Linked DNA regions of Arabidopsis thaliana. The protein of the gene in region 1 interacts with the protein of each later gene in a pairwise test. Each region holds a gene or a part of one and is shown on either strand. Other genes may lie near its edges.

Region 1 (7,626 bases):
ATGTCCTCTGTTGTCTTCATGTTAGGTCATAACGCCATTGATCTTCCATCTCCGAAGCATCCTGCATTTACGGCGGGAAGGAGGAGAAACACCAAAACTGGCGGCAGCTCAGATAATTGGCCCAGCGGAGAAACCAGCAGTACTATTAACGACGTTACTCTCACCGATGTTCAAGGTCGTTAAGAAGTGTATTCCTCTTCTTTATAATCTAAGAAGACTATAGGTATCAATTTATAGTAATACTTGTTATATAGAAAATTATGTGTTTAAAGCGTATGCAAACTTATTTGTATAAAGTTTACAAATACCTAATGAAAAGAAAAGTTAGCCTCATTATACAGGGGATTACATGGTTAGCTTCATTTCTTCTCTACATAACCCGACTTTTATCAACCACTAACCAACCATATTAATAATGATCTCATAAAAATCTTTAAATCAACTTAGAAAGTGCTCACCATAGGTTTGTTTTTCTTAACTTACCAAGGAGCCGACAAAATTGTCTCAAACTCAAACTCCACATCTTCAAGCTCTACATTGAGATCTTTTGCACATGACTCCATCTGACATATCTTTTTCCAGGCTGCATCTTTCTGTTCTTTTTCTGCTTCCTTTTGTTCTTTTAGAGCAGCTTCTTGCCTCTGCAGCTCGATAATCTTGTGTTTCACCTCAAGAATCTTTTGTTCCATGTCATCAAACTCTTGTTTAGCCTTGCTAAATTCATTTGTCATCTCCTTGTCAAAACCTTTTAGTTCCTCCATTATATATAGTTGTCTATCTTTGAGTGCTAACAGCTTGTCGATCCGTGATAATGGAGTTGTAACATTGAAGCCATGTTTCTCGAGCTCCGAAAATGAATCTTTAAGGCTATTTAGTTGGCTTACAGGAACGTCGGCTTCAAGATCTTTAAATTTCTCCAGTAACCCAAAATAAGTCACCATCATACCTATTGCATACCCTTCACGGAAATCTTGCTTAGTCTCAAACAATGGGCTGAAATGAAGACTGTGTGATACACTTTTGAAGACCTCCAGTGATTCATAAGTCTTCCAGACCGGTGACTTCTTTGCAAAAGGCAAAACCATTATTGTGTGTTTTGCATGGTTTTCCTCAGCATTAGAAGCAGAATTCTTCACCACATTGGGGGTCCGATCCGAGGATAACACTGGACAGATGAACGCATACACAACACAATGAGAAAATAAAGGCTTATCTACCAGTAATAGTACAATGAGACCATTGCAAGCGGGTCCTACATTCCAGAATGTGCAATGAGAGTTAAGACATACCAGTCTTATTGATGTATGAATTGAGCTTTAGACCTCCTCTTTTCCTCTTTCGAGTATAATATTTGATCTTAGGCTCCTCAGGCATCTGTGCATAGAAGTGTTAAACCAAAAGGAGAGCCATCTCAAAGATAAATAACAATCATAAACAATACCTTCTCTCGAGTTGACTCATTTCCAAAGCCATTCTTCATTGGCACAGGGGATACCTTTCCTTGGGTTTTGTTCTTTGTTGCAGTTACCCCCAGGGTTATAGGTAAACCAGATTCTTTTTTCTGGAAAACAAAGACCATAGAACAATTTCAGGGCGTAGAAAACAAACAAGGTTATAAAAGAATCCACTAGCAGGGTTATGACCATATACCACATCATCAGCCATCTCATTTCCCGGTGGTTCCTTTGTCTGCACATTTCTGTTGCCGTCTAAAGAAGTTTCTTTCTGGCGTTTTGGCTGAAAATGGAAATAACATAACAACACTTCAATTAATCCTCAAAGATGTCACACTAATTAAACCAAACCAACACAATGTTGCCTGCAACTAGTGATACAATTTACCTTTGTTCTTTTATGCCAAACTCCATCTTCCCACTCCATTGGAGGCCTAATATCAGAGTGATTAAATTGCGATGCCTCCTTTGTTGCCCCGAAACTTACCATGTACCTTCCCTCAAAGACAATTCCCCTGACCACACCTTGACGCCATTCAAAACCACTAAACGCCTCTACATGATCCAGCAATTCATACTTTCCAACAGATAAAGGAGGCTGCATAGGCCTTAGTCTTAGGGAATCAACAATTAAATTTTTCGATTCCCGGCAGCTATAGGACTTATTCCAGTACTTGACAAGAAACCTCTTGTCCTTCTCCAACTCCTTAATGACAATTACCGGAATCCAAGCACAATCAAATCTCAATTCCACCATTGTCCCGCAACTAAAAACAGACTTGACCAATTCCTTCAAAGACAAAAAACAAACATACAACAACGGATAAAGTTAACAACTTTTTCATGCAAAGGCGAAACGATTTCAAAAAAAACTCATCATACCTTATTATCAGGTCGGATCCATTTGAAGCCGGTCCAATCAAGATGAACCCTCAATTTCTTTTTCTCAAACTGAATAATGTCTGGTGGGCAATCGAAGTAAACCAAAAACTTCTCATCCTCCATTGTTTTTACCACCACACCAGTCCACCACCCATCTTTGAGATAAGCGTCGACCATCAAGCCTTCTACAAAAACGACGCCGTCGTTCACATCCTCCGACGGGACAGGACGAATGAACCTCTGATCGACGAATTCCGTTAAAGGAGCCAAACGGTGTTCATTGAGCTGCGTCAAGTAACGAACTTTAAGCTTATTGTGTCCTGATTTCGTTGGATTATCTTCCAGAATCGCTCTGTAATAAGACCCTTTTAACTCTTCTTCTTCAGAAAAAACTTCTACTTTGTCGTCTTTTCTAATGAATATCATCTGCTCCATCTCAAAAACCCTTGAATGAAAACTAATAACGGCTCATTTTTGCTCTGCTAACCCTAAATCTAAAAAAAGACTTTTCTGCTGAAACCCGAAAACCATAGATATGATTATATGAAGGAGACTTTTTGCAACCAAAACACAGTGCTACTGTGTCTGTGCTTAGTGTCGATATTCACGATACACATCGGGGAAAGTGTGTTTTCTTTTTTTCTTTCCCAATTTACTTTTCTTTTTTTTTGGCGCTTGAAATTATGAGAAAATGATTTAAGAAATTATCAGGCCCAAACTATCTAATGGGCCTAATTAAAAACGGTGTCGTTTCATAGGATCCTCATCACGAAGCAGGTAAGTAAAAATATATCTTATCTTCTCCAAAACTCTCTCTTCGATTTCAGCAATTGCAATGGCTTCCTTCACAACAACTTCTTCTTCCTCGCTTCTCCTCAAAACTCTTCTCCCCGTAAGCCACCTGAATCGTTTCTCTACACTCTCTGGTATCCGCGTTGGCGATTCATGGACTCCTCTGCTCCGGAACATCTCCACCGCTGGGTCTCGGCGTCGAGTGGCGATTGTGAAAGCTGCGACGGTGGATTCGGATTACTCGTCGAAACGGAGCAATAGCAATGAGCAGAGAGAGACGATTATGCTTCCTGGTTGCGATTACAATCATTGGCTCATTGTAATGGAGTTTCCTAAAGATCCAGCGCCAAGTAGGGATCAGATGATTGATACTTACCTTAACACTCTTGCTACTGTTCTTGGCAGGTTCGTTTTCGCTTTCTTATTGATTCTCTTCGTTGTTGAATTAGTTAACTAATAGACGACATTTACTTGTGTTGCTAATGGACTTGTCCTTTGATTGAATCCAATGTTGCGTATAGGAAGATTTGGTTTTTTGTTAGATTAGGGTTTTTGATGATACTTTAGGGTAAGGGTTTAGTGAGCTGAGTAAAGCTTTCAGCTTTAAATTTGCTCTGAAGTTGACCTAGTTCCAGAATTTGTTCTTAATATCAGGTGTAATCTTTAGCTGACTTGTTTTTCGTCTCTTGATATGTGCAAACTTATTGAACATTGCTGCATATTGAACACAAAACATTGGTGTCTGATTTGATATCTAAAACTTTGTGCTCTTTAGCGTAATTATGAATGAAATTAGGGGGAAGAATAGAAGCATCTATTTTTGCATATTTTCTTCAAGCTATGTATAAATTGTAGGTGATTGTGCATGGTTTCTGTTTGTTAAAAACTTGATGTGGACAGTGTAAGCTAGTAATGTATGTAAAAGGAGTGTACAATTGTGCAGAGCATTAGATTGGGACTCCTGACTAGAAATTTCTTGGTATGGCAGGGAACGAGTTTGTGTTACACAACTAATGACTAAAACTTTAGTTTATTTGGTGCTACTCTCTATTTTAGAGAACTTTGATTCCGGTTTACACTATCCTGCTGATGTGATAACCAATTAATGTACTTGTGTCCATTTTCCAGCATAACCAGTTCATCGTGTTTGCTTATTATATGTACTTGTGTCTATTTTCCAGCATGGAAGAGGCGAAGAAGAACATGTATGCATTCAGTACCACGACATATACTGGATTCCAATGCACCATCGACGAAGAAACATCTGAGAAGTTCAAGGGTTAGTTAGTGAGCAAGAAGAGCCTTAGTCCCCTTATTGAAAGTTCGTCGAAAACCTTCAAGATACTGATCGTTCTGTCTTTTCATTATTTTCACAGGTTTGCCTGGAGTTCTCTGGGTCTTGCCTGACTCCTACATAGATGTCAAGAACAAAGACTATGGAGGTAACCCATCAAAGCCTGATTTTAAACTTTCTAGGATCTCTCTCTCTCCCAGTATCCATGTTCTGATAATTGAATCGTTCTTTCTCGGGTTTAGGCGACAAGTACATCAATGGAGAGATTATCCCGTGCACATACCCAACATACCAACCAAAGCAGCGCAATAACACTAAGTATCAAAGTAAGAGATACGAAAGAAAAAGAGACGGTCCTCCACCTCCTGAACAGAGGAAACCAAGACAAGAACCAGCAGCCTCTGATTCCTCTTAAACTATAATAAGATAATGGAGTGTTTGCAAGTTTTGATCTTTTGGTTAGCACTTAGCTTGTTGAAGTCGTGTGTAAAATCGTCTAGTACCAAATGATGATACTGTATCATCACACCTTGAACAATAGCTATTGTTATGTTAGGATGAAATTCAACTTGAACCATTTGTTTATTTAGGTAATGTTCGGTTTTGGTTTGGTTTGATTCTTTGTCAACCACTGCTTTTTCCCCACGTTTTCTCAACACCAATTTCAGACAAGACAAAACAATTGTAGGGTCACACACTCGTCACCAACTCACCATCTACATCAGTCGTCCCTACCTTATCAACACATCACATGGAAATAATACACTACTCTCTCACGGACTTGGAACCAAACATTCCAAATTAGTTTAATCGACAGATCACTGCTCAGCTGAATCGTTTTCTCTCATCAACCGCAGAGAAAGACTTTCAAGATCATCCTTCAAGCTCTCTCAAATGGCCAACTTCTATGAGAATTACCAGAGTCCTTACGATTACAATCAGGTTAATAATCTCTACGATCAAAATCATTATCATTACAATCAACAGCAGCAGCAGCTTGGTTTCGAACCAATGAGTTATAATTATTACAACTGGAATGAATCTGAATCTGAATCTGAATATGTTGCTTACTCTGGTTATGATGATCCAATGAGTTATAATTGTTATAACTGGAATGGATCCGAGTCTGAGACAACCTCTGCATATGTTGCTTACTCTGTTTCTACCATGTCTGAGCCTAAACACTTGTTCTATGATCCGAATCTCTATACAACCTACGAATCTCCTCCTCAGTTTAGTATCTATTGCTCTGTAGCCTCTGCTCTTGACTTCAACGAGCCGGAATTCGATGAATACGATCCCACGCCGTACGGTGGTGGCTACGATGTTGTTGCAACCTATGGAAAACCTCTTCCTCCATCGGTGGAAACTTGTTACCCTTGTTCAACCGCTCCTCACGCTAAAGCTCCCTCTCCTCCTGAGATTATTGCTCCTGTTCCTCTTGGAATTTATGATGGTGGTCAAAAGAATGTTGTCAAGAAACGTGTGTCTTTTGCTGAACCGGTAGAAGAAGTCAAACCAATAGAAACCATTAAAGAGCAAGAACAAGAACAAGACGAAGATTATGATGAAGAAAGTGAGGACGAAGATGATGGTGATGATGATGATGAAGAAGAAGAAGAAGGGGATGAGGAAGCTAAAGAAGAAGAAAAAGATCACAGTTCAAGCTATGGAAATGAGGAATATGAAGTCGTAGATAAAGGAGAAGTGAAAGCTTTGTATGTTCCGTCTGGTTACGGATTAGAAGCGACCGATCTCTGTGAGGTTATATTTGGAGGTTACTTTCCTTGTGTGTTACGTAACAAAAGACGTCAGGAAGATGAACAAGATCGTGGGGCTGCTGTTTCTTGCTGGGAAAGCAACGATTCTGATCCGTGGAAGACAACTTCCGATCACCTTTTCGGGGATTCATATCCGTACGGTTACGAGAATCGGAGCGAAAGAAATCAGTTCGAGGTCTCCTCTTATGGTTACCGGATGTATTAACAACCCTAGTTATCATCAGTTGTGTCAATGTGAGGTAAGAACAACATTCTTTTGATTATTGATGAACCTGATTTTTTAGTATCTGTTACACAAGAGATGAGATTTACTGTTGTATAACGAGGAGGGGTTACTTAATAATAAAACGTCGCACGCAAAATCTATCTTCAACCTTTCTATTTGTAACATTCTCTTTAACACGTTTGTTTAAAATCTAAAATCTTTAAATACTACACTCGATGTGATAATTGATTACTGTATCCATCGTAATTATTATTGGTATATATACATTTCTTTGTGAAAAACACCAAATAAATGAAAGAATTGTATCATGGTATATCTAATATCTATCACTGTGAGTACAAGTGCAGAAGAAATTGTAGAAGTAGAAAAGTCAACGATAAAGATGAATTAGCTGAAGTTGAAGAACACTCTAATAAGTAATAACAAACAATGAACACCATGGGGGTTCTTGATTATCTTAAATGAAAATTAGTACCCGATTCAAAAGAATATCATTTTTTTGTGTTTTTGGAAACTCTTTTGAGACGTTAACATGTTGACTAATAAATTATGTGTAAATATACTTTTTTGCAGAAATTATTTTTGTGGATGTATAACTTGTTTACCTGAGCATGTAAGTATATGGAATTTTCAAAACTGTACTACGTATAGACAATATGCAAATACAGAAAACAAAACAAAATACCGTATTTACACGCGATATTAATAAGGTTCAATGACATGCTACTTCTTAACTAAAACAAAATTTAAAATGATTGATGAAAGCTTTACATGTGCGTCATGGAGGCTTAACTTTGTTTTGAGACGTCTACTTCTTTTTTTTTATTCTTATCCCTTTCCAATTTAGTTATATGTAGTATAATCAGATTAATTCACCATATATAAAACCCTTTTTCAAAAAAAAATAAAAAAAATTATAAAAGTATAATAATTATTGAGCTGTTGGTTATACTGTTTTAATTTCATCGAATACTTTCTCTGTTTTGTTTTAAATGATGATCCAGAGAATTTTGTTTATCTTATTTCAAGTGATGTTTTCAAAAGTTTAAATATATTTGATTGTAACCATTTATATAATAGAATATGTTTTTTACTAGTTGAATTAGTTTTATTTTAACAATTTATATATATAAAATAAACAAAATATTTTTTTTATTATTTCTTAATTTATGTGAAAAACTTTAGATATGATTTAAT
Region 2 (7,652 bases), on another chromosome or scaffold:
TATTTATACACAAAAGATAGAGGTAAATAGTGGAAATTTTCTTGGTCTAGTTAATGGCCAGCCAATCTTAATGAAAGTTTGAGATGGTAAGAAATAAATATTTTTAAGAAATGATTTGTAAGTATTATAAACAGAGACAGAACCATAGATTAAGATTTAAATTCGATAATGGAATAAATCCATTAGCTACTTGAATCTAAATTTTGTTCAAGACCAAGTCACATCCTAATTTTGCTAAGTTTAGGTTTTAACTTGGACCAATTTCGTTCAATTGTTGTTTAAACATTCCTCCAAAAGTTCCTAAGTAAAAGCACAACCTCAACTGTTCATTCCACTCAAAGATTTATATAATTTGATTTTTCCTTATTCCTCCACCAATAAAAAGAAAGATTGTTTTCATCTTATAAAAACGCGCACACAACCACATATTCACCAAGACATTATGGCTGATGCAACGGAGAAAGCCGAGCACGACCGTATTTTCAAGAAATTTGATGCTAATGGTGACGGAAAAATTTCAGCAGCCGAACTCGAAGAAGCTCTTAAGACACTTGGTTCGGTAACAGCTGATGACGTCAAACGTATGATGGCTGAAATTGATACTGATGGTGATGGAAACATATCGTATCAAGAATTCACTGATTTTGCAGGTGCCAATCGTGGACTTATGAAGGATGTTGCCAAAATTTTCTAATTTTTTTTGCCATACTTTTACTTTTGAAATGTTTGAATTTTTTTATATATATTGAGAGATTTGGTTCTAAGCATCGTCAATTCTTATTTTTGTTGTTTTTACACTTGGTGAGTTTTAATTTATATGATTGTATCCTAATTCCATGTAATGTGATGTGAGTGGATCATTCTTGAAAAGGGGGCTAGTTTGTTTTGTTTTGGTTTGTTGAACACCACAACAACGAATGTTTTGTTTTAAAAAGATATAAAAATGGCTTTAACAGTGAAGAGAACCAAAACATTCATAATTTGTTTTGTTCCTTAAAGTTCATTATTTGGTTTAGGCTTCTCGCATATACATTTTAAATCATTGATATAAAATAAAGTAACTACATTTTTAGAATTACTTAAAAAGTAAATATATTGCGGATGCATTCTCTTTAACGTAAACCTCTCCGCCTATCCTCTCGGTCTCACCTCAAACTTTCTCCTAAGTCCATGTTAGGACTTAGCCGGAGAAACCAATAACTATGCCTACACAGCCGTCTCATCCATCGATTACGACATGCTGTGGCTGTGGGACTCATGTTCCTCTTTGTTAGGAAGTCTTATATAGTTATATTTATATAAAATCAAAAGCTGATATTGTTCGGATTGTTTAGTCTTGACTACTCAGATATTGAAGTGTTGTTACGGGTAAAATCAAGAAATGGTAAGTCTGAAGATGTTCCAAGACTTGAGGATATTTAAACATTGCCATGTTTAAAGTGAGTTTAGAGAATGAGAATGTGGTCCAACTTTATCATATCTTTCTATGAATACATGTATTTTTCAAAAGTGGTGATAAAATTAGTAGTAAATATCAAGTTTTCTTTTACACATTCCTAAGCAAAACGGTTTCACCCACTTGATCAAAAGCTGACAATGAAAACCTCTCAAAAAACCCAAAAGTAGAGTTTGGACTCCGGCTTTTCAGAATAAAAAGACTCAAGTGAGGTTTAGCTTCTTTACTTCTATCATCATCATCATCTCCCAGAAACGTTAGCCTCTATGTAATAATCGAGTCGGTCCAAATTCATTCATGCGTCATTTTGTATATATTTTGGGTGAAATTAAACGTAACGTCAATTCGTTGACAAAAAATAAAATAAACGTCATTTCTTTCATATTTATTCAAACTATGAAAACACTTGCTCGTGCTGTTGTTACATACACACATGTTCCTCGTTCTCGAATCTCCACGACCAACGAACCAACTGGGTCCCAAAAGTATAAGGCACGGAATATTTCGGGCGAAATTGTCACAAAACGAAACTACTGGGGTAAGTTAAAGTAAAATAAAAACATAAGGTCACGTTCGCTAAGTCTTTTTTCTTCTCCTCTTTATGACGACGTATCTACCGCCGCAACTCCGCCGCTAGTTTCCACGCCGATGCAGCGATTAGAGGTTTCGTTTGCCACGCAAGCATTAGGCTTCCGTCGTTCTCCTCCACTCTGTATCCATCTCCACCGCCAGATAACGCCAATAGCAAACTCGCTTGCTTAAACGCGTCTGATCCGAGGTTAACCGGGTCAAACCCGGCGGATCCCATACGTTTTCGCCACTGAGCCAGCGTCTCGTGTCGCTCGATCCTATCGCTTCCTTCCGTCGCCACCAAGTTCAATATCTGTCTCCCTAAGTAAACCTCCGACATGACTCGGTCTTGACTCGGTATCACAACACCATCTTCGAGCGAGTCGAACAAGCTCGAGTAATAGTGAAGCGCTTCGTTAAACCGGTCTAAGAAAACGTCACCGTTATGGTTCGCTTCTTGTTCCACCACTGTTACGAGACCCGGTTTAACCGCCTTAACCGTCGCTAACAGCTTTTCGATCGAACCGGGTTGGGATAAAACCGGGTGAAGCTCGAAAACCGAATTAACCACTAGAGTCTCCGATTCGGTTCGGGTCTCGAACATATCCGGTTCTAAATCGGATAACCTCTCCGTCGTTAGACCATTGAATTTGAATTCGACGCCGATGGCTTGAGCCAGCTGAGCTAGCTTCCAACCTAACTCTTGAATCCCTTCTCGATTCGACGGATTCCCAACGCCGGTGAGACGAAACGACGGTGGACCACCGGGTCGGAGAGCTAAGGCTTGCATTAACGCCGGCCATTGCATACCTTGATTAAGCCCTAGATCGATTACGTGTACGACACGCGACGTCGTAACAGCTTCTAGAATCGCCTGATTGGCCGTGAAATGAGCGAATTTCAGGTAGGGACACGAGTCGTAGAAGTTCATCTGAAGAATCTCTTCGAAGGAAGGATCAATGGCGGCGGCGGAAGGATGAATCCGGTAAATTCGACGAGCTAGGGCTTCGGCGAAGTAGGTAGCGACTTTCCCCATGGCTCCGGCTTGAGAAGCCGCGAGTAATCCCACGCGCTTGACGAGAGCATCCGCGAGGCTCAGATTCTCCAGCTGAACCGCCTCGGCGCAGGCCACTAGCGCCTGAACGAGTCTAACTCCTGTCTCCTCGATAAGCACCACGGAACGAGTTGACTCGCTGGTCACTGAGTCACACCAAGGACCGAGTCGAATCCTCTTGTTGCTGTTACTATTGCTACTGCAACACTCATCGTCGTCTGTGATTGGTCTCAGATCGCAAATCCGGTTCGGGTCAAGATCCGGGTAGTAATTAAGATCCGAGAGCATGCTCTGAGCCCAACCGGAGAGATCAGAAGGATTGTAATGAACGGTGTCATTGAAGGCATTACTAGAAGAGGCAATATCATTGGACAAGACCATTTCAAGCTGTTCAAGCTTCTGTGCAACATCTGCCATGTCTGAAGATCGAACCTTGTAACCCAAAACAGCAAGAAACTCGTCCATGTTATCGTCTCCACCACCACCACAACCATTTTCTAACTTCTCCACCATTGAAGGAGCTTCTTCTTCTACAGACGTTTCTTGATGGCTTCGTTTCATCGTCAAGAAATGGAATTTTTTGGTGTTGGAATTGGTTAGACAGAAATTGTGGAAAGAAAGGAGAAGAATTTAAACAGGAGAAGGTAAGAGAGGAGAGTTAGAGAGGTCCAATGAGGGAAGTGAGGGACCTGGAGAGTGTAAGTAAAAGAGATAAGAAGGAAGAGAGGCAGGCCATTATAATTTCGCATGTGTTTTCTTCTCTATTCTTTCTTTTCCAAATTATTTCATTTTTATTACTATAACTTTATTGAATTTCTGATCCAAGTTACAAAAAATTCGTCGCTCTGATAAGGGCGTGTAGTTTTTGTTTAATGGTCCAATGGACTGTCATAGTCTATTAAACTATTTTTTAATACCCACTAAATGTTGAATTTAGAGTTTCTAGAATTATTAAATTGGGTGCTGCAGTAGATATTAGTCATATCATATGACCTATATTGATAACCCAAATAGTTCTTCTCGAGAAATGGAACTTGTAAACTCCGAAAGTAACAGCCCGTTTTCTTCAAGTATCTTGTTTCTATAACAAAATTTTAACTAGTTAACGTGACATACTGTAATAATTTTACTGACAAAATTTGATATTTATTTTTTTAAATGATACTATCTCCTAATAATTTGTTTGCCGAAATGGTATAAAATAATACTAATTTTTAAAAAAGTTTGAGAAGAAAATAGAGGTCCCGATAGAAGTACAGCTCAAAGTATTGCAGTTAGGGAGACAACGTGACCAACCTCACGGTCGACATGTGGCGGCAGTCGACATTAGGTATCAGACGTCTACAACATTACGTTGCTTTCTTATTATTATTATGTTTTCATTTCTTTATGTGTGTAAATTGAATTTTATTCCCCATACCAAAAACATCATTTTAAACATGATAGTTACATATATAGAAGATTTTTATAATAGAGTAGAACTGAACATAAAAATAGATTTCACTCTTGAATTAGTTTGTTGGTCTAAGTACAAATGGCTTATTATTTTCCGTTTTGTGAAAATAATGTATAATCCTGTATAAAATAAAGTTTCGAGTAATTTTATATGACTTAGCGAATGAATACACAAGCTAAATATATTAGTATATTACCCTTCGTTCGTTGATATATTGGCAATTTTGAGGGAAACAAATAAATGACGAGACTATTTAATGGCCGGATACGTTTTGAAATGTTACCCAAGTTACTTTCTCGACATTTTAGGCGGATGATCCATTGACTAATTATCCTCTTAATTATTCGAACAATAAAAAAAACTACACTATCCAAAACGTGTGGTAAGAAGATATTTATCCACAATGTTCCGTAAATATCTCATTTATTTACATTTTGAAACCTATCATCAAACTAAGTAACCAACCCTGAAATATTTAGTCAATTATCTTACAAAAGAAACTCAACAAATCCCCTATCATTGTGACAAAAACCCTTGATTTCACTCTCTATATATACTTAATGATCTTCCTAAAACACAGTCACAACGAAATAAGCATGGCAAAAGCAATCGCTTTAACTGTCTTTTTGTTCTTATTCTTGTCATTAATATCTCTAACCCTAGCAACAGATTATCCACTATTCACAAAGTCTCGATGGATCGTAAACAACAAGGGCCACCGCGTGAAGCTAGCTTGCGCGAACTGGCCTTCGCACCTCAAGCCAGTGGTAGCAGAGGGGCTGAGCAGCCAGCCAATGGATTCAATATCGAAAAAGATAAAAGACATGGGATTCAATTGTGTTAGGCTCACTTGGCCACTTGAATTAATGATTAATGACACTTTAGCCTTTAATGTTACCGTGAAACAATCATTTGAGAGATATGGATTGGATCATGAGCTTCAAGGGATTTACACTCACAATCCATACATTGTCAATACTCCTCTCATCAATGTCTTTCAGGTATAAATACATAATTAATCATGTGATTCTAGTATTACATAATTTCTTCAACTCAAACAAAAACTATTCTTTTCATGTTCAATTAAAAATCCATGGTTTTTAAATAAGTCATTTGTGACTGAAAAATATGACTAAAACATGTTTTATCTTATATTGCAATAATGATTATTTTTCCATTTCTTTTCAGATCTGATCATCGTTGTAATGAAAAAAATATATTTCACATGCTTCTTGTTTTTACTATATGATATCTTCTAACGCAAGGCAACATGTTTGTGTAGGCTGTGGTGTATAGTCTTGGGAGGCATGATGTGATGGTGATACTTGACAACCACAAGACCGTACCGGGGTGGTGTTGTAGCAACGATGACCCGGACGCGTTCTTTGGCGACCCAAAATTCAACCCGGATCTATGGATGTTGGGTCTTAAGAAGATGGCCACAATATTTATGAACGTGAAAAACGTTGTTGGTATGAGCCTGAGGAATGAACTTAGAGGCTACAATCATACATCAAAAGATTGGTACAAGTACGTATTTATAAATTCCATTTTCATTTATTTATCATAACGCCCATGTGAAGCTTGAAGGCCAAGGAAATTAATACACGTTAATTATCTGTCTATTTTAGATCTTAACAGATTATATTCCGTTGTGCTATACATAATTAAATCCACAATAATAGTTAAGTACAAGTACATTAAAAAATATATATTTATATTGGTTAATATAGGAATCCAATGTCCATCAATTTAACAACAAGAATCAACGCATATAAATAATAAATTAACTTGATTCTAACCTTTTTTTAAATAGAAAAAATGATTATTATTTTTCCACATGTAGGTACATGCAAAAAGGAGCAGAAGCAGTGCATACATCAAACCCTAACGTACTGGTCATACTCTCAGGGCTTAACTTCGATGCTGACCTAAGTTTCTTAAAAGATCGTCCAGTGAATCTTAGCTTCAAGAAAAAACTTGTCTTGGAGCTTCATTGGTATTCTTTCACTGACGGTACTGGTCAATGGAAGTCACACAATGTCAACGACTTTTGCAGCCAAATGTTCTCTAAGGAGCGTCGTACCGGCGGTTTTGTTCTCGACCAAGGCTTTCCTTTGTTCTTGAGCGAGTTTGGGACCGATCAAAGAGGTGGCGATCTTGAAGGAAACAGGTTCTCGACCAAGGCTTTCCTTTATAATTACATTTAGATATTTGCTTACCAATCAAAGCTTAAAGTACTTTTATCAACCGTATACCATTAGGTACATGAATTGTATGTTGGCATGGGCGGCCGAGAAAGATTTGGATTGGGCGGTTTGGGCGGTTACGGGAGTTTATTATTTCCGCGAAGGCAAACGTGGTGTAGTTGAAGCTTACGGTATGTTAGATGCGAATTGGCATAATGTTCATAACTATACTTATCTCCGTAGGCTCTCCGTCATTCAACCACCGCACACAGGTATTCATCAATCTTGCTTGTAATTTAACCAGATTATTATTACATATAGTTTGATGTAAATTTAATAAACAGGACCCGGTGTAAAGCACAATCATCACAAGAAAATATTTCATCCGTTAACCGGACTCTGCCTAGTGAGAAAGTCACACTGCCATGAGTCCGAGCTCACGTTAGGTCCATGCACAAAGGACGAACCGTGGAGCTATTCTCATGGAGGCATACTTGAGATCAGACGCGGTCACAAATCTTGCTTAGAAGGAGAAACAGCGGTCGGAAAAAGTGTGAAACTTGGCAGGATATGCACAAAGATTGAGCAAATATCGGCCACAAAGATGCATTTGTCGTTCAACACTAGTGACGGTTCGTTGGTATGCTTAGACGTGGATTCGGATAACAATGTTGTTGCTAATTCTTGCAACTGTTTGACCGGAGATACTACTTGTGAACCTGCAAGCCAATGGTTCAAAATCTTCTGAGGTTTATTTGTTGATTTAAGCTAAGAGAGAATAAATGTCTAATTAGGATTAGTGAATTGTTTAGTTATTCTACGTTTCCCTTCATAAGCTTCGTCCTCTGTGTTTTTATGGCAGAGAGAAGAAACAATTCTCCGAAACGATGACGATTTTGTATTGCCTTACTTCTTCACAAAGTTAAC
Region 3 (9,497 bases), 5.1 Mb from region 1:
GTTCTGAAATCTAAAATTTGATCATTCTTTCTGTGGTATACGTACACATATACATGTTACTAAGAAAATTATCAGTATGTTATCTTTTCTTTAATTTTATCTATGTGGTCTCTTGAACTTTAGTACAAAATGGTCTCTATATTAGGAGACGTATATGATAAGGGACATACATATTAATGGCGCATGACCAAACCATACTTTAATATCATGCATCTATCATGTCCCACTAATCGCCTAAGCTATCCATTTGGGAGCGTGTGATTCAATCTTTCTCATAAGAAGAACAATTTTACTGGTATTTTATGCAAGTGTAGTCCTCCACACATAAGATGCTTCTGTTGTATGAAGGCAAAGAGCGGATGCAATAACTTTTTCAAAATTCGGTAAAAACCTGAACTGTGAATCTGTGATTGCAATTTTTTTACAATGGTGTTGTTGTTCAAATGGTGACAGCAAAACATGAATTAATAGACTGAAACGATTTTTTTTCATCTTACCACAAAACAATTATACACTATTATACATCACATAATAAATGTTATAATTATAAAAAAAACATGAGTGATACTATTTTTTAAACTCTACTCTTCAATTGATAGTTATTTTTGCTTGATTTTTTTTTAGCAAAACAATGATTTAATAAAATAAAAAAATTGTGATATGCCTAATATTGGTAAGAAAGAAAAAATATCGTACTTTTCAATGTCCTTAAAAATACAAATTTTTATGATTTGACTACTTCCAAATTTCTTTAAATGAGTTCAAATTCAAATATTTAAAATTTCGTAAGAAACAATATACATATAGAACAAGAAACATCTTTTATGGACGGCCAAATCATGTTGTTTTTTGCTCTACAAATGAAAATCATATACTATTACTAATTAAATTATATGTTGTCTTATAGCTTCGGAATCTTTCTAAACATGATTCACCCCTTTTCATTACAGGACCCCACTATAATTAAGGTTTCTTCTAAAGTGGGATCCATCTGATCGAACCATCTCATCTCACTCTCAGTTTATGAAATCGTGATCTTTTGGAAGAAGAAATCAACGCAAATGGCTGACCAAACTAGAGAAGCCTTTCTCTCTCGAAAAGCTTGCTCAGATTTCGGATTCAATGATTCAAACATCATCGATGACCGTCGTTCCAAGTTCCGGTGTTTCCGATTTTGCTCCGACGGGATCACTGCTTCCTGGAAAGCTTTATACGACATCGGTGCTAAATTATACGAGATGGGTCGTTCCGATCGTCGGAAAGTTTACTTCTCCGTTAAGATGGGGATGGCTCTCGCACTCTGTTCTTTCGTCATCTACCTTAAAGAACCACTCCGTGACGCTAGCAAGTATGCTGTTTGGGCGATCCTTACTGTTGTCGTCGTCTTTGAGTATAGTATAGGTACTGTGACTCACGAATTCTATAGATTCAGATCGATTCTGGGGTTGTTGTTGTTCGATCAAATCTTCCGGATTTTGATTAAAAATCAAAACTTTCGTCTTCTTCGATCTAAATTCTCATTAGATCTGTCTTAGGATTACTTGTCTTCAGAGATCTAATTTGGCTCTAACTCTGTTTTTTGAAGGAGCAACATTGGTCAAAGGATTTAATAGAGCTATAGGAACACTCTCTGCTGGAGGACTTGCTCTTGGCATAGCTAGACTCTCTGTTTCAGCTGGAGAATTTGAAGAACTCATTATCATTATCAGTATTTTCATTGCAGGTTGCACTATTTCTCTCAATTTTTATTAGAAATGAACCTTTTTTAAATAAACATACTAACTTTATTTTTGATACTTGTGAATCTGTTGGTTTGTCTATCAGGTTTTTCTGCAAGTTATTTGAAACTATACCCGGCGATGAAGTCGTATGAATATGCATTCAGGGTGTTTTTGTTGACATACTGTATTGTTCTTGTGTCTGGAAACAACTCTAGAGATTTTTTTAGCACTGCTTATTATAGGTTTTTGCTTATCCTGGTTGGTGCTGGTATCTGTTTGGGTGTGAACATATTTATACTTCCCATTTGGGCTGGAGAAGACCTCCATAAACTAGTTGTTAAGAATTTCAAAAGTGTGGCCAATTCACTTGAAGGTAGAGAGATACGTCAAATGGCTGTTTTCTCTTGTTTCGTTTCGGGTTTTGGCTGTTTTTTTATGTCTTGTTTTGTTTGTGCTTTCCTAAAACTTTCAGGATGTGTTAATGGGTACTTGCAATGTGTTGAATACGAGAGGATTCCTTCGAAGATTCTCACTTACCAAGCTTCGGATGATCCATTATACAGTGGATACAGGTCTGTAGTCCAATCTACGAGCCAAGAAGATTCTCTGGTGTGTTTTCCTTAGGACACTTTTGTTGAGCAGCAACTAGATAACTTGAAAAGGATTTAGATGATAAGATACGATGACCTCTTTTTTCCTCAGCTTGATTTTGCAGTATGGGAGCCTCCACATGGACCATATAAGACTTTCCACCATCCATGGGCAAACTACGTCAAACTTAGTGGCGCAGTAAGGCACTGCGCTTTCATGGTCATGGCAATGCATGGCTGCATTCTTTCGGAAATTCAGGTAACTTACCATATTCTTGTTAAATACAACTTTATCTATCATAGCAAATGAGGTGCTATAATGGTTATTAGAGACTATACCAACCTGCTTCAAATGCTACTAGTACCTCTTCGTGATTAACTAGACTGTTACTCTGAGAAGTCGGATATTTGTCATATAATTGTTGAGTAGGTGCAAAGTGGGATCTCCTAGTTTACTGTTGTTACTAGTGAATGGTTTTCTTTGAGTTCAATGCTTGTCGTATGCCCTATAAGACTTGTGATATCAATTGGTGTGGGATTTGCAGGCAGCTCCAGAAAAAAGGCAGGCTTTTCGTCAAGAACTTCAAAGAGTTGGAAACGAAGGAGCCAAAGTCTTGAGGTTGTTTGGAGAAAAGGTGGAGAAAATGGAGAAGCTAAGCCCAGGGAACGTTCTCAAGGATGTTCAAAGAGCAGCAGAGGAACTACAGATGAAAATAGACAGTAACTCCTTCCTACTTGTCAACTCAGAAAGCTGGGCTGCTATGAAAGAGAAAGCCGAAGCTGAAGAAGCGCAACAAAACTATCACGAAGCCAAAGACGACGAGTCTAAAGTGATTCAATCCCTCAGCCAGATATGGGACAATAACAACAACCCTCATCATCAGAATCAACACGCTGGTAATGATTCTCAGCTATGGATATCAACAGAGAGTATGATGCTTAGGAACCGCGAAAACTGGCCAAGCGTCTCTTTCATAGGCGGTTCTATGATCAATGAGATAGAATCCAAAGTATATGAAAGTGCGAGTTCTTTGTCGCTAGCTACATTTGCGTCTCTTTTGATCGAGTTTGTTGCAAGGCTCCAAAATATTGTTAACGCGTATGAGGAACTAAGCACTAAAGCCGATTTCAAAGAACAAGTTAGCGAGACACGGATATAGAAAAAGCTGGACTCTGGACCAGACTCAGTAGCTGCTTCAGCTCCAGGGATATAGTTGATTTTGTATAGAAAATTATATACATTATTGCTTTGTTTGTTTGCTGTCTTGAAATAAGTTCCTAATTCCTTTTTGTTTTGTTTTGGCAAAGTCATAAACTCAATTGGAAAGTTTTGTTTTTCTTTCATTGTATCAATTGAATCAACTGTTTAATTTTTTAAAGCAAAAAATTGATTAAAGCCCAACATAACCCAATCCTAAGAAAGCCCAAAATGGCCCAATTAGACACTTTCGTCATTTTATATCTTTCCCTTTAATAAATCCTTCGTAAAAAAAAATCAAACGCAGAATATTATTTTTCTCGCTCGCGAATTCCTCTTTCTCACCTTTTCTCGCTCCTGGGAATCTGAAGCAGTTCTTCTCCGACGCCTGGATCGGTAAGTTGATTTCCAGTTTCTTCTTAACGAATCATAAGATCTCATCTCTAAACCTTCATTTTCCGATTCACATTCCCTTTAATCCAACTTCGAACCGGTGAATCTGAACCCATTTCTCGCTTCTTCTGTTTTATTCATACCCGATTCGTTTCAAAATCTGCAGTATAGTCTTAATCTGTTTGTGCAAGTAGAGAAAAATCAATAAAGCCGAAGATAACACTCGAGTGGCTATAATTGTTTTTTCCCAGGATCTGTAAATGATTTCTCGTATTTATTACTAAATATTTTATTCGAGATCCGAAAATATCTATTGTTTCGTCTCTTATAGCAATGAGCTCATAGGAATTATTTTTGGTGTTGCAGTGATTTGATTCGAACTTTCACATAAGATGGCTATGGTAGATGAACCGTTGTATCCCATTGCTGTGCTTATAGATGAGCTTAAGAATGATGATATTCAGCTTCGTTTGAACTCGATCCGTCGCTTATCTACTATAGCTCGTGCTCTTGGAGAGGAGCGTACAAGGAAGGAGTTAATCCCTTTTTTGAGTGAGAATAGTGACGATGACGATGAGGTGCTTCTTGCAATGGCTGAGGAGTTAGGAGTTTTTATTCCGTTTGTTGGAGGAATTGAGTTTGCGCATGTTCTTCTTCCTCCTTTGGAATCTCTATGTACTGTTGAAGAGACTTGTGTGAGAGAAAAAGCTGTGGAATCGCTTTGTAAGATTGGATCTCAGATGAAAGAGAATGATCTTGTTGAATCTTTTGTTCCTCTTGTGAAGGTTAGTTTAGGAGATTTATGTAGCACTAGATTACGCCGTTTTGTTAGTTGGTTCAATCAAAGCTTTTTTTTTTGTTTTGTTGTTTGTCTTGTAGAGGTTAGCGGGTGGTGAATGGTTTGCAGCAAGAGTTTCTGCATGTGGTATATTTCATGTTGCATACCAAGGTTGCACTGATGTGTTGAAGACTGAGTTACGGGCTACTTATAGCCAGTTGTGCAAAGATGATATGCCAATGGTGCGAAGAGCTGCTGCATCTAACCTGGGGAAATTTGCTACAACTGTCGAGTCTACCTTTTTGATTGCTGAGATCATGACTATGTTCGATGATCTTACTAAAGATGGTACTTAATGTTTGAATATATCGTACTTTATATGTGCTCATCACTTAGAAATAGTTTGCATAGACCCAAGAGTATGGTAAAGAGATCACATTTGAATTAATAAACGCTGTTTGATGAAATATATTGGATACTTACCTCTTCAGAAATGTTTGTTTTATCTGTGCTTATATTGGTTAAACTTTAACCTTCATTTCAGACCAAGATTCTGTGAGACTATTGGCTGTTGAAGGGTGTGCAGCTCTTGGAAAGTTGTTGGAACCTCAGGATTGTGTTGCACGCATTTTACCTGTTATTGTTAATTTCTCTCAGGTGAATTGAGCTTTGTTTTTTTCATTCATGGATTTTTCAGTTAATTGTCTGCTGTTCCATGTTTAATTTTCATCGGTAAAAGCTTGCTGTTCTGATGTTTTTCTATGGTGTTTGTATTGATTTCTGAGAGCAGGATAAATCTTGGAGGGTGCGCTACATGGTTGCTAATCAGCTATATGAACTTTGTGAGGCAGTGGGTCCTGATTGCACGAGGTATGTGTTTTGTGACATTGTTGATTTTTTTGTCATCCTTGCTAATCTAGGCTTTCGTTCTCGTAAAACAGTTTTGTGACCTTCAAACAAATATGCATCTAAGAGCGTCTATTGGAAGTTTTCTTTATTCTTTTTCGTTCATATAAGAGCCTTCCATGGTAGTTCTATGTTTGTACATGTATCTTTTTATTTTGACACAATTTATGTTATAATATCTCTAGGACGGATTTGGTTCCAGCATATGTGAGATTGCTAAGGGACAATGAGGCTGAAGTGCGAATAGCAGCAGCGGGAAAAGTGACCAAGTTCTGTCGGCTTTTGAATCCAGAGCTTGCGATTCAGCACATCCTTCCTTGTGTGAAGGTAAGACTCCTTAAATTCTATATAAACGAGTTGTTTGATGTCCCCTGTCTCGTAATATTCTGATACATACTGATGTCTGGCAGGAATTATCATCGGATTCTTCTCAACATGTCCGCTCTGCTCTAGCTTCAGTAATAATGGGGATGGCTCCTATCCTTGGGAAGGTATGAACTGAAGATAGCCAACATTTTCGCATCTTGTGACAATGTTCTGAGATTTAATTTGTTTTATGGTTTTCATCAACAAAATCAGCCATACCTTGTGTTATGGCGTGGTTATACCAGCCCCAACTGGTGTTGCAGACCTTATCAAAAAATTATTAACATACTAAAATCTTTCAATACAGGACTCAACCATTGAGCATCTGTTACCAATTTTTCTTTCCCTTTTGAAAGATGAATTTCCTGATGTGCGCCTTAACATCATAAGCAAGTTAGATCAAGTCAACCAGGTTTGTTGCATCTCTCTTGTGTGCTTTAGATACTACTTTTATTGCTTCCTTATTTAGTTGGTGACTGAATTATCTTTTACGGCAGGTTATTGGAATTGATCTACTATCTCAATCCTTGTTACCGGCCATTGTAGAACTTGCTGAGGATCGGCACTGGAGAGTCCGACTTGCAATAATAGAGTATGTTCCACTGTTGGCCAGCCAGTTAGGTATAGGATTTTTCGATGACAAGCTCGGAGCCCTTTGCATGCAATGGCTGCAAGACAAGGTTTACCTTGAATCTTTGATGTTTGCATAAATTTCTCATTCACTTGTTATTGTAGATATTGACACTGTTCTCCTCCTTCAGGTCTACTCTATCCGCGAAGCTGCAGCAAACAACCTAAAGCGCCTCGCAGAGGAGTTTGGTCCTGAATGGGCAATGCAGCACTTAGTTCCCCAGGTATTCTTTGAGCATTTTATACTAAAACCATCTGTCTGTTTATCTTATTGTTGATCTATGTCAAGTACCTCACCTATAACATCTAATCTCCAGCTTTGGTCCCTTTTCTTTGGATATCACTAAAGCTGCAAATATTGAGATCTCCAGATTGACCTTTATCATATAAACAGGTATTGGACATGGTCAACAATCCGCACTACCTACACAGGATGATGGTTCTACGCGCAATATCTCTCATGGCGCCTGTAATGGGATCAGAAATCACATGCTCTAAGTTTCTTCCTGTGGTTGTTGAAGCATCAAAAGACAGGTACAATAGATAGATTAGAGGATATGAATAAGCCAAACTAGTTTAAGAACACTTCTTAGTTTTTAATGTGTTGTTGTTGCACACCTCTTATCTCTGCAGAGTTCCAAACATCAAGTTCAACGTTGCCAAACTTCTGCAATCCCTCATCCCCATAGTCGACCAATCAGTACGATCATAACAAACATAACTCAGTTATATCGAAAACTAATGGAAATTGTTGAATTTTAATGTTTTTGCCGTGTCAAAAATTTGTAGGTGGTGGACAAAACAATCCGTCAGTGTTTGGTGGACCTGAGCGAAGACCCTGATGTTGATGTTCGTTATTTTGCAAATCAAGCACTTAATTCCATCGATGGTTCCACAGCAGCACAATCCTGAATTGTTTTTTTTTCATATGTATGATCGTTAAGTTAAGTTTCTATTATTCGTGTTCTCTGCAATTTATTTGGTTTGTTTGTGTAAAACGCCATTTTGGTTGCTGGCTATGAACTGCAACTATTTTTGTTAGTAAAATTGTATTACCTTTTTTACACTTTCTGTTGTTCCAAACCTTATACATTCTTCTTAGTTTACTAATGCTAACACTACTCCCTTAGTGAAACTATTTGAGATAGAGTGAAATGCGTGTGGCTATGTTTGGTCTTCTGACTAGTTCTTGTTTCAAACTTTATCCAACCCCTCTAGATCAACTTTGTTCTATTCAATTGATTTTGTTTTTCTAATAAACACAAAAATCAATACATTAGATTTTGATACAAACGCCCACAGCCTCCTATTCATGATTCAACAAATAGAAAGCATAAATCATTTGACAAAATAATTTTAGCCACAAGGGTTAGCCCGCTTTTAGCACCCTCTAATAGCATAATATTCTACAGTTATATCTCCTATTTTCCAAGAGGAGGCATAGGCTAATCAAGCGGTCGTCAAAACTTCACGGGCTCGCGAGCTACGATGTTGGAGACGACGGTGAAGCACCTCAGACATCTCAGTGTAGAAATCAGCATCCCATCTCTGAATCAACAAAGGATCTTCAGCAAAACATATGTATATCGATGTCACAGCGCTTTCGACTACCACCATTCCTAAACCCACCTGAACACCACATTGGATCAATGAAACAAAGTGAACAAGTTGGTCATGTAATTTTTTGGGTGACTAAAAGAGTGCACAAAAGAAAACTCACAAGAACCATTCCCATCAACATAGCCGTAGATGCAACCATTATAACTCGGTCACTGTACTTGATCCAAGCCCATATACCAATGCAAGAGCCTGTGATGAGTCCTCCAAAGATGGTTCCCATCAGAAGTACAGCACCAGAGCAGTCATATGCAACAAGTGCCTCTACACCTGTCGACTGAAACAATTCCCATGCGTCTCTTGCTGATTTGTTGAATCCTTTTCCATACACTGCAATCTGATAATTAACCAAACGTTTTTTTCATTCTGAGTCTCATTGCTCATAGGAGGGAGATGATGAGCTTGTTTAAAAACTGTCTATATTTATATATATACCTGGACGTATGCATACTTGTTAAAAAAACGAACTAGTGTTTCAACTAGATGAAACAGGAAATCAACGCAGCAAAGTAAACATTCGTTTCCACAAATCTTGGACCGGAATCCCCTTATCTGCAAAAGAAAGTTGCAGACTAATGTTATTAACAAGAGGAGCAATGATAATGTTTTACGAACAGCAAAGGATGCTGGAGACTACCTCCCAGCGAAGTGTTCTAATGGCAGCAGTGAAGAGTGAACCGTAACATATGCTCCCAAAAGATGTTGTCACGGCATACCTAAGTGAGTCTACCAAAGAGCTAGGAGGCAACGATGATGACTCTTCTTGACCACAGTGAAAGAGAACATGAAACACCATCCCAGAAACTATAACATGGACAGTGTTACATAGCACAGCGCCTGTCCAGAATAAGCTAACCGAAAGAACCTGCATATATATTATATGTTCCAATGATTGAGTGAATTCTAAACATGTTTACTTTCAGACACTTAAAGCAGAAAACAGAAACCGTGAGTAAAAATGCAAAACTTGCCAGCTCACCACAAGAAGCCACCATCGTCCCTCATCGCCCATGCTCGATGCCACAACACCAGCTGCTCCAAAAGACCATAGAGACATCCACAAAAGCATGACTACTGTGAAAGCATGTGCCACCATTATCACCTTAGGAAGTCCCCAGACTAATTTCAGCGCTTTCCGTAGGACCAGCATTGTGAAAGGAAGTCTACACATGAACAACTCAAATCATCAGAACTAAAAAGTTGTTGCCATTTGACCATAGGGGTTCAGTCATAGTTCAACCAGTTCAACCTCGGACGCACCTGTCTATAACTGAAATAACATACAAGAACTGCAACAG

Evidence for each region. Proteins that work in one complex are often made in the same cells at the same time.
Region 2: the proteins of MORF9 (region 1) and RGL3 interact in binary tests that used the Arabidopsis thaliana proteins (3 or more experiments, as listed by UniProt).
Region 3: the proteins of MORF9 (region 1) and RCN1 interact in binary tests that used the Arabidopsis thaliana proteins (3 or more experiments, as listed by UniProt).

What each region holds. Positions count from the first base shown.
Region 1 is NC_003070.9:3,844,102-3,851,727, forward strand, and holds MORF9 (plastid developmental protein DAG), read left to right. Parts: upstream 1-3,118; 5' UTR 3,119-3,171; coding exon 3,172-3,533; intron 3,534-4,309; coding exon 4,310-4,407; intron 4,408-4,504; coding exon 4,505-4,570; intron 4,571-4,664; coding exon 4,665-4,837; 3' UTR 4,838-5,123; downstream 5,124-7,626. Other genes in the region: AT1G11410 (S-locus lectin protein kinase family protein), read left to right, coding at 1-183; DUF2 (agenet domain protein (DOMAIN OF UNKNOWN FUNCTION 724 2)), read right to left, coding at 480-1,165, 1,290-1,374, 1,442-1,561, 1,651-1,737, 1,843-2,244, 2,337-2,771; AT1G11440 (uncharacterized protein), read left to right, coding at 5,317-6,408.
Region 2 is NC_003076.8:5,762,247-5,769,898, forward strand, and holds RGL3 (RGA-like protein 3), read right to left. Parts: upstream 4,001-7,652; 5' UTR 3,642-4,000; coding exon 2,070-3,641; 3' UTR 1,743-2,069; downstream 1-1,742. Other genes in the region: PC1 (pollen calcium-binding protein 1), read left to right, coding at 443-694; AT5G17500 (Glycosyl hydrolase superfamily protein), read left to right, coding at 5,133-5,537, 5,819-6,066, 6,383-6,709, 6,801-6,997, 7,070-7,473. UniProt on the Arabidopsis thaliana protein: Probable transcriptional regulator that acts as a repressor of the gibberellin (GA) signaling pathway. No effect of the BOI proteins on its stability.
Region 3 is NC_003070.9:8,947,406-8,956,902, forward strand, and holds RCN1 (ARM repeat superfamily protein), read left to right. Parts: upstream 1-3,756; 5' UTR 3,757-3,905; intron 3,906-4,268; 5' UTR 4,269-4,294; coding exon 4,295-4,687; intron 4,688-4,781; coding exon 4,782-5,028; intron 5,029-5,224; coding exon 5,225-5,337; intron 5,338-5,470; coding exon 5,471-5,550; intron 5,551-5,771; coding exon 5,772-5,913; intron 5,914-5,996; coding exon 5,997-6,077; intron 6,078-6,259; coding exon 6,260-6,364; intron 6,365-6,449; coding exon 6,450-6,632; intron 6,633-6,713; coding exon 6,714-6,806; intron 6,807-6,976; coding exon 6,977-7,116; intron 7,117-7,215; coding exon 7,216-7,282; intron 7,283-7,371; coding exon 7,372-7,494; 3' UTR 7,495-7,755; downstream 7,756-9,497. Other genes in the region: AT1G25480 (aluminum activated malate transporter family protein), read left to right, coding at 1,062-1,401, 1,586-1,723, 1,825-2,094, 2,194-2,330, 2,424-2,570, 2,857-3,471; AT1G25500 (Plasma-membrane choline transporter family protein), read right to left, coding at 8,032-8,211, 8,303-8,536, 8,635-8,751, 8,837-9,064, 9,179-9,362, 9,460-9,497. UniProt on the Arabidopsis thaliana protein: The A subunit of protein phosphatase 2A serves as a scaffolding molecule to coordinate the assembly of the catalytic subunit and a variable regulatory B subunit. Seems to act as a positive regulator of PP2A catalytic activity.